Linked DNA regions of Canis lupus familiaris. The protein of the gene in region 4 binds, or shares a complex with, the protein of the main gene of each other region. Links are inferred from orthologs where the notes say so. Each region holds a gene or a part of one and is shown on either strand. Other genes may lie near its edges. The genes, in order: PHF20, OGT, KANSL2 and KANSL3.

The links.
Region 1: KANSL3 (region 4) and PHF20 share a complex: the UniProt entries of both Homo sapiens proteins name them as parts of the NSL complex. The link is inferred for Canis lupus familiaris from reciprocal best matches to the Homo sapiens genes KANSL3 and PHF20.
Region 2: KANSL3 (region 4) and OGT share a complex: the UniProt entries of both Homo sapiens proteins name them as parts of the NSL complex. The link is inferred for Canis lupus familiaris from reciprocal best matches to the Homo sapiens genes KANSL3 and OGT.
Region 3: KANSL3 (region 4) and KANSL2 share a complex: the UniProt entries of both Homo sapiens proteins name them as parts of the NSL complex. The link is inferred for Canis lupus familiaris from reciprocal best matches to the Homo sapiens genes KANSL3 and KANSL2.

Annotation. Positions count from the first base shown.
Region 1 is NC_049245.1:25,372,074-25,376,057, forward strand, and holds part of PHF20 (PHD finger protein 20), read left to right. Parts: intron 1-687; coding exon 688-1,093; intron 1,094-3,055; coding exon 3,056-3,239; intron 3,240-3,984. UniProt on the Homo sapiens protein: Methyllysine-binding protein, component of the MOF histone acetyltransferase protein complex.
Region 2 is NC_049260.1:56,041,173-56,045,156, forward strand, and holds part of OGT (UDP-N-acetylglucosamine--peptide N-acetylglucosaminyltransferase 110 kDa subunit), read left to right. Parts: intron 1-417; coding exon 418-543; intron 544-1,135; coding exon 1,136-1,306; intron 1,307-1,411; coding exon 1,412-1,528; intron 1,529-1,620; coding exon 1,621-1,791; intron 1,792-3,843; coding exon 3,844-3,984. UniProt on the Homo sapiens protein: Catalyzes the transfer of a single N-acetylglucosamine from UDP-GlcNAc to a serine or threonine residue in cytoplasmic and nuclear proteins resulting in their modification with a beta-linked N-acetylglucosamine (O-GlcNAc).
Region 3 is NC_049248.1:40,817,290-40,821,273, reverse strand, and holds part of KANSL2 (KAT8 regulatory NSL complex subunit 2), read left to right. Parts: intron 1-79; coding exon 80-194; intron 195-2,775; coding exon 2,776-2,939; intron 2,940-3,360; coding exon 3,361-3,527; intron 3,528-3,984. UniProt on the Homo sapiens protein: Non-catalytic component of the NSL histone acetyltransferase complex, a multiprotein complex that mediates histone H4 acetylation at 'Lys-5'- and 'Lys-8' (H4K5ac and H4K8ac) at transcription start sites and promotes transcription initiation.
Region 4 is NC_049231.1:46,372,451-46,377,006, forward strand, and holds the start of KANSL3 (KAT8 regulatory NSL complex subunit 3), read left to right. Parts: upstream 1-1,484; 5' UTR 1,485-1,618; intron 1,619-1,809; exon of another isoform or gene 1,810-1,979; intron 1,980-2,655; 5' UTR 2,656-2,705; coding exon 2,706-2,920; intron 2,921-2,938; exon of another isoform or gene 2,939-3,410; intron 3,411-4,556. UniProt on the Homo sapiens protein: Non-catalytic component of the NSL histone acetyltransferase complex, a multiprotein complex that mediates histone H4 acetylation at 'Lys-5'- and 'Lys-8' (H4K5ac and H4K8ac) at transcription start sites and promotes transcription initiation.

The DNA.
Region 1 (3,984 bases), on a different chromosome or scaffold from region 4:
TTGTCATTGCATTTTTAAAAAGATTTTATTCATTTGAGAGAGAGAATGAGAATGAGCAGGGGAGAGGGGCAGGTACAGAGAGGGATATGCAGACTCCCCACTGAGCAGGGAGGCCAGTGCTGGACTCGATCCCAGGACCCTGAGATCATGACCTGAGCCAAAGTCAGACTTAACCAACTGAGGCATCCAGGTTACTGAATGTAACTGAAAGTTATTGCATGCCAGGATTATCATGCCTGCTTATTTGGTTAGTTTTAGTAACTCACATTTGAAGAGTACTTTGCTAACAAACTACTTTTATTTGGATTAATGCACTTAATCTTTACCAAAGTCGTTGGCTAAAGGCAGACAAATACTTAGCCTAGTTTTGCAGAGGAGGGAATGGGAATGAGTCTGGCTGAGTGACTTAATACAGCTGCACTGCTGATCAGTGGCTGAACTGAAATGCAGTCAAGTCTTCTGACTCCCAAGTCTAATCTTACCATGAGTGTTCACAGCAGGAGCTTGCCTGCCCGTGATCTCCTCAGAGACCATGAATTTATATTCCCTTTTGCTTAGCAAATGGTGGCTTGTGGCCAGATGGCCCAAGTGGGGAGTTCTTCTTCCTATTGGGAGAGTGGGAATTGAGAAGCCACTGCAGTGGTCGCAGTTACTCCAAAGCCCTTTCTGTGTTTGTCCTCCCAACAGAAGCAGGGAGCATCCTGATCTGCAGCTGTGGTGTCAGCCTTGGAAACAGCACTCAGGGGAGGGGAGATCTCATTCGAAACACATCCACGTCACTGAAGCCAAGAGCAAAGAGGAAGTCCTGAGCTATAGAACTTTGAATGGGGCAGTGGAGAAGCCCTTGCCCCTCCCCATACCCCGGTCTATGGAGGAGTCCTATATTACTAGCGAGCATTGTTATCAGAAGCCCCGTGCCTATTACCCTGCTGTGGAGCAGAAGCTGGTGGTGGAGACTCGGGGCTCTGCCCTCGACGATGCAGTCAACCCCCTCCATGAGAATGGTGATGATTCTCTCTCTCCACGTCTGGGCTGGCCTCTAGACCAAGACAGGAGTAGGGGGGACAGTGACTCCAAATCTAGCTCCCTAAAGGTATGTGGCTCACTTGTACTTGTTCTTAATTTAGTATTTGAGTGCTTGAGCTCCACTTGTAGGGTTCTGTGGAAGATGCTTTTTTTTTTTTTTTAAGATTTTATTTATTCATCAGAGACACAGAGAGAAAGAGAGGCAGAGACATAGGCAGAGGGAGAAGCAGACTCCATGCAGGGAGCCTGATGCAGGACTCGATCCCAGGTCTTCAGGATTATGCCCTGGGCCGAAGGCAGCGCTAAACTGCTGAGCCATCCGGGCTGCCCTGAAAGATGCTTTTTGTAAAATTGTATTTAAATTTGCTTATCAAAAAAAAAAAAATAAAAAAAATAAATTTGCTTATCATAGGTGTTTTCTGGTCAGTTAAAATGGTTGTAAAGTCAGGAGAGCCCAATTAAACCAGAGATCACAGGTTCCAGGAAATGCCCACAAAATGACATAGTCACTAGGGGTGGGAGGTGGAGAGGTGGGAAGAATTGAGAAGGATAGTGTTGACACTTGATAAATGGAAGTTAGGTAGGAAAATTGTTTTTTTTCTTTAATGGCGTTTATGTTGTAATTGCACCTAGCTGCTAAGTCTTAGCATGAGCAAAGAATGAGTAAAATGTTTTGTTAGGCATAAGTTTTTCAGTACAATTGTATGATAGCTTTACTTTGGCTTTTAACTTTGTAGCCCTGACATAAAAACAGTCCATTTCGTCAGAATATTTAATGGTTTCATCAGCTTGCCCAAGAAAAACTCAGTTTTTTGTTACTCGAACCATGCTCTTCTAGAGCCTCTTTGTGTCATTTTCCTGCCAATATTGTCATCTTTAACTGTTCACTTATGCCCTTCTGTCCTGTCCTCAGTTGGTCAGTGAGGCTTTGTGTAAGTGGAGAGCTTCTCCACCATCATCATCCTTCCTTTTAAATTTTCTTTTAAATTTTACCCTGTGGCTGGCATCATCAGCATTTAGATATGTTACTGCATGTTGCCAAGTGGGACATCCTAAATGATAAGCCACTCACGGGTGGGCACTGTACCTCTTTCAGCCTGTCCCCTTGCCAGTGCTGGTCATGGTTGGTGAGGTTGGTCTTTGGAGACAGACCCAGTGTCATGTCTGGGCTTAGCCATTTACTGTGTGATGCTGAGCAGGTCAGCATCCTTAGATGTGTCTCTTCACCTATCTGTGGGAGGGGCCAGTGCCCATCCCTCTAGTTACTGTGCAGTGTGTCTGCGAAAAACCGTCAGTACAGAGCTTTGCACAGTCAGCTCTAATAAATATTAGCTCAACTTTTTCATTTCGAATGAATGAATGAAAGGTTGAGATCACAAACGGTAGAAACCATTTGTGATCGTAAAACTAGGCAGATTTCCTAAAGACATCTGCCACGTAATAAAAAGTCAGAAAATACGAGGCCTAAACAAGGCAGCTAGGATTAAAAATATCTTTCATTCATGGCAAGCTGACCATAGGCCAGCATGGTGTTTTATAAACCTTATATATTTCATTCTCATGAACCTAAAAATTGGGTTTCACTACTTGCATCTTTCCCATAAGAGAACAGAGGCTCAGAGAGGAAAAGTAACTAATCTAGGCTCACACATTCAGCAAGACAAGAAGCTAGGACTTAAAACTAGTTTGTCTGAGTCCTGCTAAGTAACATACTAATTCCTGTCTGCACCCATCCTGTTCTACTCTGATCTCAGGGCTCTAGAAGCCATTCTGTGAGGCCTATTTTGGGTCTGGAGCATTGGGCCAGTCACTAGGAAGCAGTTGTGAGGCCTCTTGATGCCCTAAGGTGTTTGTGATTGCTGCCCCAGGCATACTTCTGCCTGGTGTCCAAGACAGGAGAGGGAGATAGATAGAGGTTTGGAATATTCAGACTGCAGCTGGTTTTTCAGATGATTGCAAACACTGGCTAGTTGGAGAATGGGCTGGGAGCAGTCTCCACACAGTAATTTAAATACCATTCCATTCCTAGGTGAGAGAATATGTCTCCAAAAAGGTCCTACCCGAGGAAGCCCCTACTCGGAAGCTGCTGGACAGAGGCGGAGAGGGGCTGCTGAGCTCCCAGCATCAGTGGCAGTTTAACCTGCTGACCCATGTGGAATCCCTTCAGGACGAAGTCACGCATCGGATGGACTCCATTGAGAAGGAGCTGGATGGTAGGGCTGCATCTCTGGCTCTCCCACAGATGCTGCATTCTTGCCTCTTTTTTTTTTTTTTTTTTTTTCCAGCCTCCTCCACCCACATCCGCCCCCTCAGGCACCTAAGGTCTGTGTAATGTCAGGAGTCCTTAACTTACCTAGTGCCTTCTGCAAAACAGAGTGCAAAAGTGTAACTAGACTCTGCCTACAGGCTGTGTGCAACCTGAGCAAATCTTTGCCGGTGGAGTTCCATGGGGAATTTCAGCTTGGACTTAATATTGTTTTGGATGTCTTTGAGGATTAATCTGAAGAAACCTTTTATTTTGGCCTTTCATCAAATCTAAACTGAAGCCTTCTCTTCTTTATCAGTAGAGGTTTAAGAACTTGACTGAATCATTTGGGTAACCCTGGGTATTTCTCCCAGGTGTTAGAGGTAGTAGATGGGCCTGATGATCATGCTCAAGTTTAGTCTTTTTTGATCCCTAGGAAGTTGCCAGCTTGTTTTTTTTTTTCTTTGTTTTTTTTTTTTGTTTGTTTGTTTGTTTTTAAAAGATTTTATTTATTCATGAGAGAAAGGCAGAGACATAGGCAGAGGGAGAAGCAGGCCCCCTGCGGAGAGCCCGATGTGGGACTTGATCCCAGGACCCCAGGATCACACCCTGAGCAAAAGGCAGATGCTCAACCACTGAGCCACCTAGGCATCCCGACTCCAGCTTGGTTTTTTTTTTTTTTTTTTTTTTTTTTTTTTTTTTTCCAGCTTGGT
Region 2 (3,984 bases), on a different chromosome or scaffold from region 4:
GAAAAGGAGGCTCCGTGCAAGGAGCCCGATGTGGGATTCGATCCCGGGACTCCAGGATCATGCCCTGGGCCAAAGACAGGCGCTAAACCGCTGAGCCACCCAGGGATCCCCACATTTTTTAAATTTAAATTCAATTTGCCAACATATAGCGTAACACTAAGTGCTCATCACATCATATGCCCTCCTTAATGCCTATCACCCAGTTATTCTACCCCCCCACTGACCTCCCATTCTGCAACCCTGTGTTTCACAGAGTCAGGAGTCTCTCATGACTTAACCATATTTTTATACTGCATAAATGTAATTTGTCTTCTTACTATGTTTTGTACCTGTGACTCTGAATTCTATTTAATGCCATTAAAACTTATTGAATTAGTTTGAGATTATACATAGTGAGTTCTGTTTTTTATTGCATAGATTCCATGCAATGGAAAAGCAGCTGATCGCATCCATCAGGATGGTATACACATCCTTGTCAATATGAATGGTTATACCAAGGGTGCTCGAAATGAACTCTTTGCTCTCAGGCCTGCTCCTATTCAGGTAAAGGAACTAATAGTAATTGCTTACAATGTTTATTAAGCTATAAAGATGGTGATTTTTTTCCACCCTCCAGTTGCTTGGCATTTAAAACAATAGGGCAGATATGCTTGACTTAATAAAAGTATAGTTCTTGAAATGCACAGGGACAATGAATTTTATTATTTTTTATTTTTAAAGATTTTTATTTATGCATGAGCGATACATAGAGAGGGGCAGAGACATAGGCAGAGGGAGAAGCAGGCTCCCTGCGGGGAGCCTGATGCGGGACTAGATCCCAGGACCCTGGGATTGTGACCAAAGGCAGATGCTCAACCACTGAGCCACCCAGGTGTCCCAAGACAAAGAAATTTTAATGTAGAACACAGTGCCCACAGGTACATTTGTATAGAGATATGCAATTCATAGTTGAATACGAACAGTTCGGTTTTTTAAATTGGGAAAACGTTTAACACTGAGAAGGTTAGGCTGAAATACTACTTGATTCCTCCTAGCTAAAGAAGTCAACCCTCCTTATTTGTTTGTTTATTATTTTGAACTCTTTTGGTGAGGCTTTTTAGCTTTTGGCCTGATTTTTTTTTTTTTAATCTTTTAGGCAATGTGGCTGGGATACCCTGGGACCAGTGGTGCGCTTTTCATGGATTATATCATCACTGATCAGGAAACTTCACCAGCTGAAGTTGCTGAGCAGTATTCTGAGAAACTGGCTTATATGCCCCATACTTTCTTTATTGGTGATCATGCGAATATGTTCCCTCACTTGAAGGTAGAAAAACAGTGCTATGTGGACATTGCAAAGAACTGTAGTCGTTTATTTCCTTGCTGTTGTCCCTATGCATCCTAAAAGAGTCTCAAACTTTTTTTTGATTAGAAAAAAGCTGTCATCGATTTTAAGTCCAATGGCCACATTTATGATAATCGGATTGTTCTGAATGGCATTGACCTCAAAGCATTTCTTGATAGTCTGCCGGATGTGAAAATTGTCAAGGTCAGAACCTGGTCAATATCGTCATTGAAATAAAGTTATCTGCATTTGGGATCTTTTCCCTAATGATACATCTTGTCATTTTTTTCTTAAAGATGAAATGTCCTGACGGAGGAGACAATGGAGACAGCAGTAATACAGCTCTTAATATGCCCGTTATTCCTATGAATACTATTGCAGAAGCGGTTATCGAGATGATTAACAGGGGGCAAATTCAGATAACAATTAATGGATTCAGTATTAGCAATGGACTAGCAACTACCCAGGTGAGAAGAGAATAATAGAGCATAATACCACCAAGTATTCATTTATCTTATTTTTTTAAGATTTTATTTATTCATTCATGAGAGAGAGAGAGAGAGGGGGGCACAGACACAGGCAGAAGCAGGCTCCGTGCAAGGAGCCCAATGTGGGACCCAATCCTGGATATCCACGATCACACTCTGGGCTGAAGGTGGCGTTAAACCTCTGAGCTCCTGGGGCTGCCCTCATTTATCTTCTTTAAATCTAATAACTCTAGGAGATGTAAGCACCATTATCCCTGTCTTATATTGAGGAAATGAGTGGTGGAAATTGACATCTTACAAGCCTTTTATTTTTAAAGGCTTTTTATTAGTGTTTTATTTTTTATTTTACTTTATTTTTTATAAGTAATTTATTGTATTGGAAATTCCTTGGAAGTGCTCTTTTTTTTTAAAAAAAAAATTATTTATTTATTTATTCAGAGTGAGAGAGAGAGGCAGAGACACAGGCAGAGGGAGAAGCAGGCTCCATGCAGGGATCCTGACGTGGGACCCAATCTCGGGTCTCCAGGATCACACCCCGGGCTGCAGGTGGCGCTAAACCGCTGCGCCACAAGAGCTGCCCTAGCCTTTTATTTTAAAAGGCTCTTGGATTCAGTCATTAGATCACTTAATGAGGGTCTACTGTGTTAATAATATGTTACTTCCTGCCTGTAGCTTTCCTCTTATCAGCGGTGAATTATCTGTAGACCTCGTACAGTTTCTTGCTTCTGTAACTCAATTCTTTCCCTTAGTTAAATCTTACTCCCTTTGAAGACTTTCAGTTCATACAGCTCCTCCAGGATCTATTCCTGTCTCTATTAGTAATCTTGCCTTCCCTGTTCCATTGGCACCTGTCTTCTCTGCTTTTGTAATATTTGAAATGCATTTTTACATCCAGCACAGCATGTTATAATTCCCTATGTTTGTGTATTCTTCCCTGAATTGAATTACTTTAGGGCCCATACCTTAGCCACAGTAATGTTGTATGTGTTCAATAAACATGTTGCATATTGGAATAAGTGAATATGTATCTCTGTCAAGAGATTATAAGGCAAGGATCTCTCTCTTAGGAGTTAACAGTTTTAGTGGTATAACAGTTTATACCATGGATGCTTAAAATGAACTCTTTTTCTCTCAGGCAAGTTCCTGTTAAGATAAAGGAATTAATAATCATTTACAAGGTTTATTGGGCTAAAAAGACAGTGCCATATTTTTTCTTAATCTCTGATTAACTGTCATTTGAAACAATAGGCGTGTTTGACCTAAGGAAAAAAAAGTATATAGTTCTTGAAATACACAGGGACAGAGAACTTTGGGTGTAGAACATGATGCCCAAATGTATGAAACCTACCTGGAATAGTTAGATAACAATATAAGGCAGTACCTCGATGTATGGGAATTGCAAGGTAAGACTATAATTGTGTACATAGATACTTAAAAATAGTGGTGATCAATGTGAGGAGACACAGTGAAGATGGTTTGGAGGAATAATTTAACTTTCAAGGATGGATGTGATTTAGAAAAGGACATTCATTAAAAAAGTGAGCAAAAGCTTGCTGTTAGATTAATAAGATTTTGAAAAGAACTTTTTGGCTTGAGTGATAAGTTTCAAGGTAAAGTCTTCCGCTTGCCCCCATTAAGATAATACCGTAACGTTTTTCCTTTCTTGAACTTAATATGTCATGAATATTTTCTCACAGTTCAAATGACATGACTTTTAGTGGTTATACTATTTGGCATTTTAAGGATTCTTTTTTTAAGACTTATTTATTAGAGAAAGCATATGTGCGCATGTGCTCGTGTACATATATGCACAAGCAGGGTTGGAGGGTAGAGGGAGAGAGAGAATCCTAAGCACAGAGCTTGATGCCAGGTTTGATCCCACAACTCTGAGATCATGACCTGAGCTGAAGCCAGGAGCCAGACACCTAAACGACTGAGCCACCCAGGCACCCCAAGGATTCTTTATTAATTAAAAAATACCACATACTGCTGACTTTAAATATAAACATCCTATTGTTTTTTGTGTTCCAGATCAACAATAAAGCTGCCACTGGAGAGGAGGTTCCTCGTACCATTATTGTTACCACACGTTCTCAGTATGGGTTACCAGAAGATGCCATTGTGTACTGTAATTTTAATCAGTTATACAAAATTGACCCTTCTACTTTGCAG
Region 3 (3,984 bases), on a different chromosome or scaffold from region 4:
GTGTTAAGTAATCTAGTTTTGTGTGGTGGAGTTACGGAGGTGGGAAGTCTTAATGGCTGCTCTCCCTTCCTTGCCTCAGATGAAGACAGCTGGAGTGATGGGGAGCAGGAACCCATTACTGTGGATCAGACATGGAGAGGTGACCCTGACAGTGAAGCTGATAGCATAGACAGTGATCAAGAAGATCCCCTAAAGTAAGTTGTAACTCCACATAAGGCTTTAAAATTTTTTTGTAGTTAGAATGTGGACTGTAGTAATGCATGCAATTAATAGATTAATAACCTAGGAGGGGTGAAGAGAGTTTAGCTATTTTGTGAGCAGTAATAGCTTCTGTATTTTAAAGTGTCCTGTCCTGGTTCACCACCATCTTGCTGCAGGGCAAGATTTTATTCTGTTTTGGAAGTCTTGTAATTTGGAAAAATTTTTGGATATCAAATTCTACACATGAAAAAGCCTAGGGGAGAAAATAGGAACTGTCTTGGACATAATGGGAGGTTGGTTGAGAAATGCTTAAATCCGTTGGAGAAGAGGAAATTGATATAAATGGATTCCTGGCTTAAGCCTCAGGAACAATAATGTGATTGTATTTGAATAACTACTTTTTTTTTTTTTTTTTTGCAAAGTTACATTTTATGAGGGTTTTTTTTTTCTAGTAGGAAAAAAAAAGATGTTCAAGAGTTTCCTTGGTTTCATGCCTAAGAAAGAGAAACTGATTTAGAAACCTAGAAGTGACTAATCAGTCTAATTATATCTTAACTAAGATTCTGCTCTTCACTTAGTTCATGATCACCTTAAGAGTTGTAGAAAAAAAAAAAAAACCGTTGCTACTCACTGCCTTCTATTTCTGTCTCATGGTTTGGGTTTAGTTTAGTTTTTTCTTTTTTTGTTTTCTTCATTCTTTTTGACTACTGTCTTTTGAGAAACATTTCGCATTGACAGCATACAAGTATAGTAAATAGGTAATGAATTTCTAGTCTTTTTACAAAATCGTTTAGGTTTACATTTGCTAAGTAGAATAATTTCATCTGTTTTTCTTGAGTAATGTCAGTTACTCAGTTCAAACAATGAGTGTCAGTTCAAACAATCTTGTTTGGAAAGTTTCATCTAAGTAGTTTGAAAGTTCATTAACTGGCAGGATTCTTTCTCAGCAGTAATTTTATACCAGACATTCTTTTTTTTTTCCTCTCCCATTGTGGTTCTGAAAGAAAAAAAAAAAAGCCAGACTTGCTGCTTTGAAGAGGTGTATGCTCTGTAGGGTCACAAAGTGACTGTCCTTTGGTGTGGTAAATACTCAGCTTTGAAGGTCCAGAAACTTGATTTTTGTCAGTAGTAATCTACAGTGGATCAGTCTCTGGGGGACACATTTATGCTAGTGTAACTTAAAAATACCAGTTAATTTTATGAGATGTATAAATGTTAAAAGGACTAGATACTTGATGTCAGTGTCTCCTAAAAGGAACATTCAAAGGGGAAAATAAAATAGGCAACTAAATATAAGGCTTTCCTTAATTCCCCTATGAGATCCAAAAAAAATTTTGGCCTTCTAAAATATTTGCATTTTTAGGGATGTCAGTAGAGTTGTTAAATATCTTATAATACTAAAGTTTTTTTTTTTTTTTTTTTTTTTTAAGATTTTATTTATTCATGAGAGAGAGAGAGAGAGGCAGACATAGGCAGAGGGAAAAGCAGGCTCCATGCAGGGAGCCCTATGTGGGACTTGATCCCAGGACTCTGGGATCATGCCCTGAGCCAAAGGCAGATGCTCAACCGCTGAACCACCCAGGCGTCCCTGATACTAAATTTGTTAATATGTTTCCATATTGCTGATGTCTTAAATTTAATAAAAGTTTCTTTATTTAATGAAATTCTTTTAATTTCATTTCTGGTGCCAGTGTTTTGTCACTAGGACCATTTTTTTTGAATCATTAACAATTTAACAGCGTATGTTTTCTTTACTTGCTTGTTTCAGAAGGGTGCTTTTTGTATTATTTATGATGATGTCATTAGATTTTATCCTAACTAGAATTAGTATTAGTGTAGTTTCTTTCCCCTCTTGTAGGTATGTATATGTGATTTTCCTCAAAGTAACCATTTACTTAATTGTTTTTATTTGTTAAAGATTTTATTCATTCATTCATTCATTCATTCATTTATTCATGAGAGATACAGAGAAAGAGGCAGACACACAGGCAGAGGGAGAAGCAGGCTCCCTGCAGAGAGTCTGATGTGGGACTTGATCCTATGATCCCAGGATCATGACCTGAGCCACTCAAGCGTCCCAGAATGTATTTTAAATTAGAAACTGAAATCACTGTCTTTTGTACTTCAACTAAAATAGGTTAAGGTATAAATGCTACTAAGTTGAATACTTTTAAGCTGTTCTGATAGCTTTAATTTCTTCACAATTAAATTATGAAACTGGGATAAGATTGTAGATTAATAAAAACTTTGAGTGTTCCATGTCTTCACTTCTTAAACATAATGCAGGTAACTGGGGAAAATAATGAAACCTCTTGCCTTCATCATGTTGTGAGATCACAAATTAGTATCCATACTTGGGGATTTTATTATTTTGTTTTTTAATAACTTTTTTTTTGTTTTTTAATAACTTGAATGCTGTATGTAAAAACATTCCTATTTAATAAGGTGATGGTCTCTGTGCTGACTTACTGTTAAATAAGAAACTTAAATCTCTTCTCTACCCTTTTCTGCGTTTAAGCTGTGGTTTTATTTTTGTGTTTTCTTATGTTTTTGCTTAACTCTGTTTTATTCCAGACATGCTGGTGTCTACACAGCAGAAGAAGTTGCCCTGATTATGCGTGAAAAGCTAATTCGTTTGCAGTCTTTGTACATTGATCAGTTTAAACGACTTCAGCATCTGCTCAAAGAGAAGAAGCGACGTTACTTACATAATCGCAAAGTGGAACATGAAGCTCTAGGCAAGTGTTCTTTTTTTAAAAAGATTTTATTTATTTATTCATGAGAGACACAGAGAGAGAGAGAGGCAGAAACACAGGCAGAGGGAGAAGCAGGCTCCGTGCAGGGAGTCCGATGTGGGACTCGATTCTGGAACTCCAGGATCACGCCCTAGGCTGAAGGTAGGCACTAAACCACTGAGCCACCCAGGGATCCCATCTAGGCAAGTTTTAATGTTAGTCCCAACAAGCTGTTGTGGCTTCAAAATGTGTATTTGGTAGTAGTTAGATTTATTTCTGTCTTGGTACCTGGAGTGAAGGAGAATTTGCTTTTGAAAGTGGCTATCTTATGGCCAGAGTTTTCTCTGTTTATTTCTTGTTAATTGGGGAAGCCATCCTTTATTGGTTGCTTGGCACGTAAATCTTGACTGTTGTGACTCACCAGGTAGTAGTCTCCTGACTGGCCCAGAGGGACTTTTGGCCAAAGAACGAGAGAACTTAAAGCGTCTAAAATGTCTTCGGCGGTATCGTCAGCGCTATGGAGTGGAAGCCTTATTACATAGGCAGCTGAAGGAGCGCAGAATGCTGGCTACAGATGGTGCTGCCCAACAGGTAATTTGTGTTTATATCTGTAAGGGGTATATATTTGCTTTGTTTACAAGTTAGAGTAATAGTCAAAACATTGTACAGTCTTGGATCGGAAATCTGACTTAATTGCACGTGGGGTAAATTGAAAAGAACACTTACGTGGAAGTCCAGAGACGTGAATTGTAGTCTTAGTTCTCTCTCTTTTTTTTTTTAGTTCTCTTTTGACCAGTTCTGTGTCTGCACTGTTAACTTCTTTGGGCCTCTGTTCTCTGTAAATTTACAGGTTGCCATAGATTTCTAAGTTCTTTGGTTCAGAAATTCTTCAGTTCAGAAATAGGGACTGGTTAAAGCGTAAGTTGCTTGGGAAACTTGTTTTAGAAGATGAGAGGATAGGTAGAATAATAGGAGCAAAGAATGTCAGGAGCTAAGTTGATAGGAAGCAGAGGTGTTTTTTTTTTTTTTTGTTTTTTTTTTTAAGATT
Region 4 (4,556 bases):
CTAGGTGTCCCTGTCTCCTTTCTCCCTATTGCCTCCCCACTCTCTGACCTTCCATCTTTCCTCTGGGTCCAGAGGGCTCTGTGTTGCATTGCACAGGCTCTCTGAAGCATTGGGTCTCTTTCTTTGGGCTGGTCTCTGCACCTGCCTCCATCAGCGTTATTTCAGTTGTCTCACTCCTGCCCTGAGAGGCAACCAAAATGAGTTGAACCAATCCACTAATATTCTAAAATGACTGGACTTGACTTTGCCTTCTCCACCTCAGGATCACCTCCAGTTAAATTTAGCCTGGGGGTGTGGTGTGTGTGCATGTTTGTGGTATACAGCTGGGTAATGAATCAAATGCCAAGGGGACCAAGGATGCCTAGTGAAGGTGGCCAGAGTGAGGGCATATGCAGCCCCCATGCCTGCCATGCTAGAACGTGAATCCTGTGCTGCCACAGCCTCCAACTTTTTAAGAGAGTCCAGAAATCTGGATTTTTACATAAAATATCCTTAGTTTAAAATGTTTGCAACCAGGAATGCCTGGGTAGCTCAGTTGGTTAAGCACCCAACTCTTGATGTCAGGTCAGGTCGTGCTCTCAGAGTCTTGAGATCAAGCCCAGCCTGGGTTCTGTGCCCAGAGAGGAGTCTGTTGAAAATTCTCTCTCCCAAGGATCCCTGGGTGGCTCAGTGGTTTGGCACCTGCCTTGGGCCCAGGGCGTGATCCTGGAGTCCCAGGATTGAGTCCCACGTTGGGCTCCCTGCATGGAGCCTGCTCCTCCCTCTGCGTATGTCTCTGCCTCTCTCTTTCTCTGTCTCTCATGAATAAACAAAATCTTTAAAAAATAAAATGAAATTCTCTCTCCCTCTCCCTCTGCCCTTCCTCCACTCACTCACTAGTGTGCACGGTCTCTTACTCTCAAAAAACAAACAAACAAACAAAAATTTGCAATGAAATAAAGTTTTGAGAAAGCAGTGGGCATACTAAAGAACATGGTGTTGGGCTGTCCTTGGCCCACTTGCCATCCCCACCTAGGCCCCAACTAACCTTTCCAATCCCTCTGCAATGGCCTGGTCCTTCAGAGTCCAACGTTAGGTGACTTCCCTTCAAGACACCCCCCCAATCCCTTCGTTGTAGGACACCCTGGGGGGCCCTCATGGTAATCACCATCCTGAGATCTCTTTGTGCGCCTGACAGGTAGGGCATTACCCAGTTCATTCTCCCAGCCCCCGCCCCTCCCCCGGGGGGGAAGTATTTGCACATTCAGGGGTGAGGGCGACGCTGAGATCTTGCTGGGGTCGTAAAGCCAAGGGGTTTCGGGTCGGAGCTGAGATTCCAACCCCCTGAGCCTGATCTCTACCTGGAGCGGCACTGCCCCCTCAGACGCCTCAGCAGCAGGAGCCTTTTCGACTCTGCATTCAGGGCGGACTTCTGCGCTCGAGAGCCGCGCGCCTCCGGGCGCTCCTCTTCCCGCCCCTGGGGCCGCAGGCGCTCACTCCCTTTCCGGGTTTTGCCGCTCACCACCCTTCTCGGGAGGGAATCCGCTTCCGCGTTTTGCGGGGCGCCGGGCGTGGAGGCGGTAACGCGCACGCGCGCAGGGATTCGGCCCGGGCCGAGCGCGCGGCCCGGCGATTGCGGGTGAGGGCAGGGCCGGCCCCGGCGGGGTGGCGGCTCGGGCGGGTCGCGGCCCGGCCCGGGCGAGCGGGAGTGTGGGCGAGGGCTTCAGGGCTCCCGGGGCATGCGGGGGCTGGGGGCTAGAGCCCGGGGCCGGGCGGCGGGGGCAGAGGCGGGCCGCCGTGAGGCGGGCGCCCGGCCGGGCCCGGGCCCGTGACGCGGGCGGGAGGCGGGTGCGAGGCGGCTCCTCCTCGTCGCGAACTCTCGGTGACCTTGGCCGAGTCGCTTCTGTGCCCCGAGCTGGCGCCTCCGTCCGTAAAGTGCGAATTATAAGCCCCGCCCGCCAGATGGGGCGCTTGGAGGCTCGGCGGCGAGACCCCGAGGGGTACGTGGGGCGCCGGGCGGTTTGCCGCGGACGATCCACCGGGGCGGGGGCAGGGCGCCTCCTGGCTTCGCGTTTTGCTGCGTGCCCGGGGCAGGAGCCCTCGTTGGCGTGTTTTGGGGACTCTAGACTATTACAAAGTAGTTGCAAAACTTTTAACCTACGAAAGAGGCCCAGGCCCTGCTGTAGGGGGGGTGCTCCCTCGGGCGCGGAGCTGGCTCCACGAAGGTGTCGGGGTGGGCCGAAGCCGCGGAGCGGGGGAGACCCTCCGTCCTGGGGGAATTAGTGTCTGTGAGTCCCGTGGTTTGCCCAAGCCCTGCCTGCTGCCCGCCCGCCCGCCCGCCCAAGAGTTTGTGGTGCTGGCCAAGCAAGTTTAGCATGTGTCCATGTGAGGCCTTTGTGAACAGTGGAGCCAGCGGGCTCTCCGTAAACGCTGAATTTTGTAGAGTGAATATGGAGGATCCTATGGCGCCCATAGTTTTTTTTTTGGGGGGGAGGGGGGAGTGGTGTGGGATCTCGGGAGCCCTTCCTATGATGGGCAAGGGTCTGCGGCGTAGTGGATTACCCAGTTCCGAATGATAGAAAGTCACAAAAGTGAGAAGCATGCATATTCGATACTCTAGGTTGGAAGAGATTTAGGATCTTTGAATGGACTTAAACCGAAACTTTTTCGCTGCAGGTGACTAGCATGCAGATACCCATTCTCTGACTTGCTGGCCCTCTACTGACATGGCCCACCGCGGTGGGGAGAGGGACTTCCAGACTTCAGCGCGGCGCATGGGCACCTCGCTGCTCTTTCAGCTTTCAGTGCACGAGCGGGAGCTGGACCTGGTTTTTCTGGATCATAGCTATGCCAAGCCATGGAGTGCCCACCCAGATGCCAGTAGTGCCCGCCCCACGCGCATGCTCTTTGTTACTCCCCGGAGGCAGCACGAAAGTACCATGTGAGTTTGGGCTTCTCTGTCCCCAGGGCTGCCCTTGCCCTAACTGGACAGTCACCAGATGGTGGGGATTAGAGAGGATTTTATTGTGGGCGATTGTATGGGGGCCTTGGATGTTCACTTCAGGTATCCCGCCTCTAATGTAGACATCTGCATTCAAGACCTCTAACAAGTTGGGAAAGCAAACAACGTATCCCCATAGTAAATAGGACTTGTATGGAAAGAGGATTATTTAGCTGGCGAAGAAAAAGACTGAAGAATTGAGTTTTAAAAATCGCCGCTCATGATTAGACTCCTTTCTTTTAGTCCAGTGTTCTGGCTTGCTCCAACACTGGCAACAATGACTTTTTTAAGGGAATGCGATTTCTTTTTCCTGGCTTCACCCAGCAAAGTTTAGGAGCTTTTCCAAGACCTTGCTTTCAGCTTGTCACCCATGGGTTGATACTAACCCTTCCTAGGTGTGATTGTATTTTCAACTGGCTTACATTATAGGGTAAGGATTTTTTTCATAAACTTACTGTGTAATATGTGATACAATTACATTTGGCCTAAATCAGCTTGTTTAGCACTTCTTTTGAGCTTTAAGGTATTCTAATTTTATTTCAAGATCAGTTGATATATACTATTTTGATGATCAAATCATGCCCTTAATTTGTTAACTTTTTTTGGGGGGAAGAGATTTTTTCTTTGTTTGTTTTAATCTAATCGAATGTCTAATGTTTCCTCTAGGACAAGTTTTAGGTTTGTTGGTGAATAGAAATCTTGTATTTTGCTTCTTTTTACCTCCCATTGAGCCTTAATGAGCTAGAGGTACCATGATATGTGTGTGTGTGTGTGTGTGTGTGTGTGTGTGTTTAAGATTTTATTTATTTATTCATGAGAGACACAGAGAAACAGAGAGGCAGAGACACAGGCAGAGGGAGAAGCAGGCTCCACGCAGGGAGCCCTACACGCGACTTGATCCCGGGTCCCCAGGATCACGCCCCGGGCCGAAGACTGCGCTAAACTGCCTAGCCACCCAGGCTGCCCCTGATGTGTGTGTTTTAAATGAGAATAGAATAGTTGGTTTTACTTTATTTCCCAATGAGGGCAGTATTTGGTTGGCTGTTTTAGTTGTAACAGGGTAGGGGAATCTGTGACTTTTAGGGATAATCTAGCATAATCTTGATGCCTCTGGCATGGGGCATAACTGCAAGAGCTCCTTTATAGCTTCTTGCTAACATTGAAACTCCTGTGTTGGGATGTTTGTGATGTTTGTGATGTTTTCTTAAAGTGAGATTCCGAGGACTTGCTCATTTCAGTACTTAGAAAATTATTACCTCTTATAAACCATCTCCATGTATAGGTCCTGAAAATGGGAATTAGCATGTTCTAGGGACTTTTTAGGTCATTCTGTCTGGAATATGGTTTGTAGTGAGGGTGTTAGTGGGAGCTAGGGAAGTTGGTGGAGGCTACCTCATATAGGAATTTGATGCTAAGAGTGGTAAGAGGTCATTAAAGGATTTTAAACTAGAGATTGGATTTATATCACTTTGAATTTTTGTTGAGTAGATATAGCTCAGGAGTGGACATAGAAGACCTGCTAGGAGACCATTGCAGTAATGGGGGCCAGAGATCATGATAGGTTGAATAGGGGCAG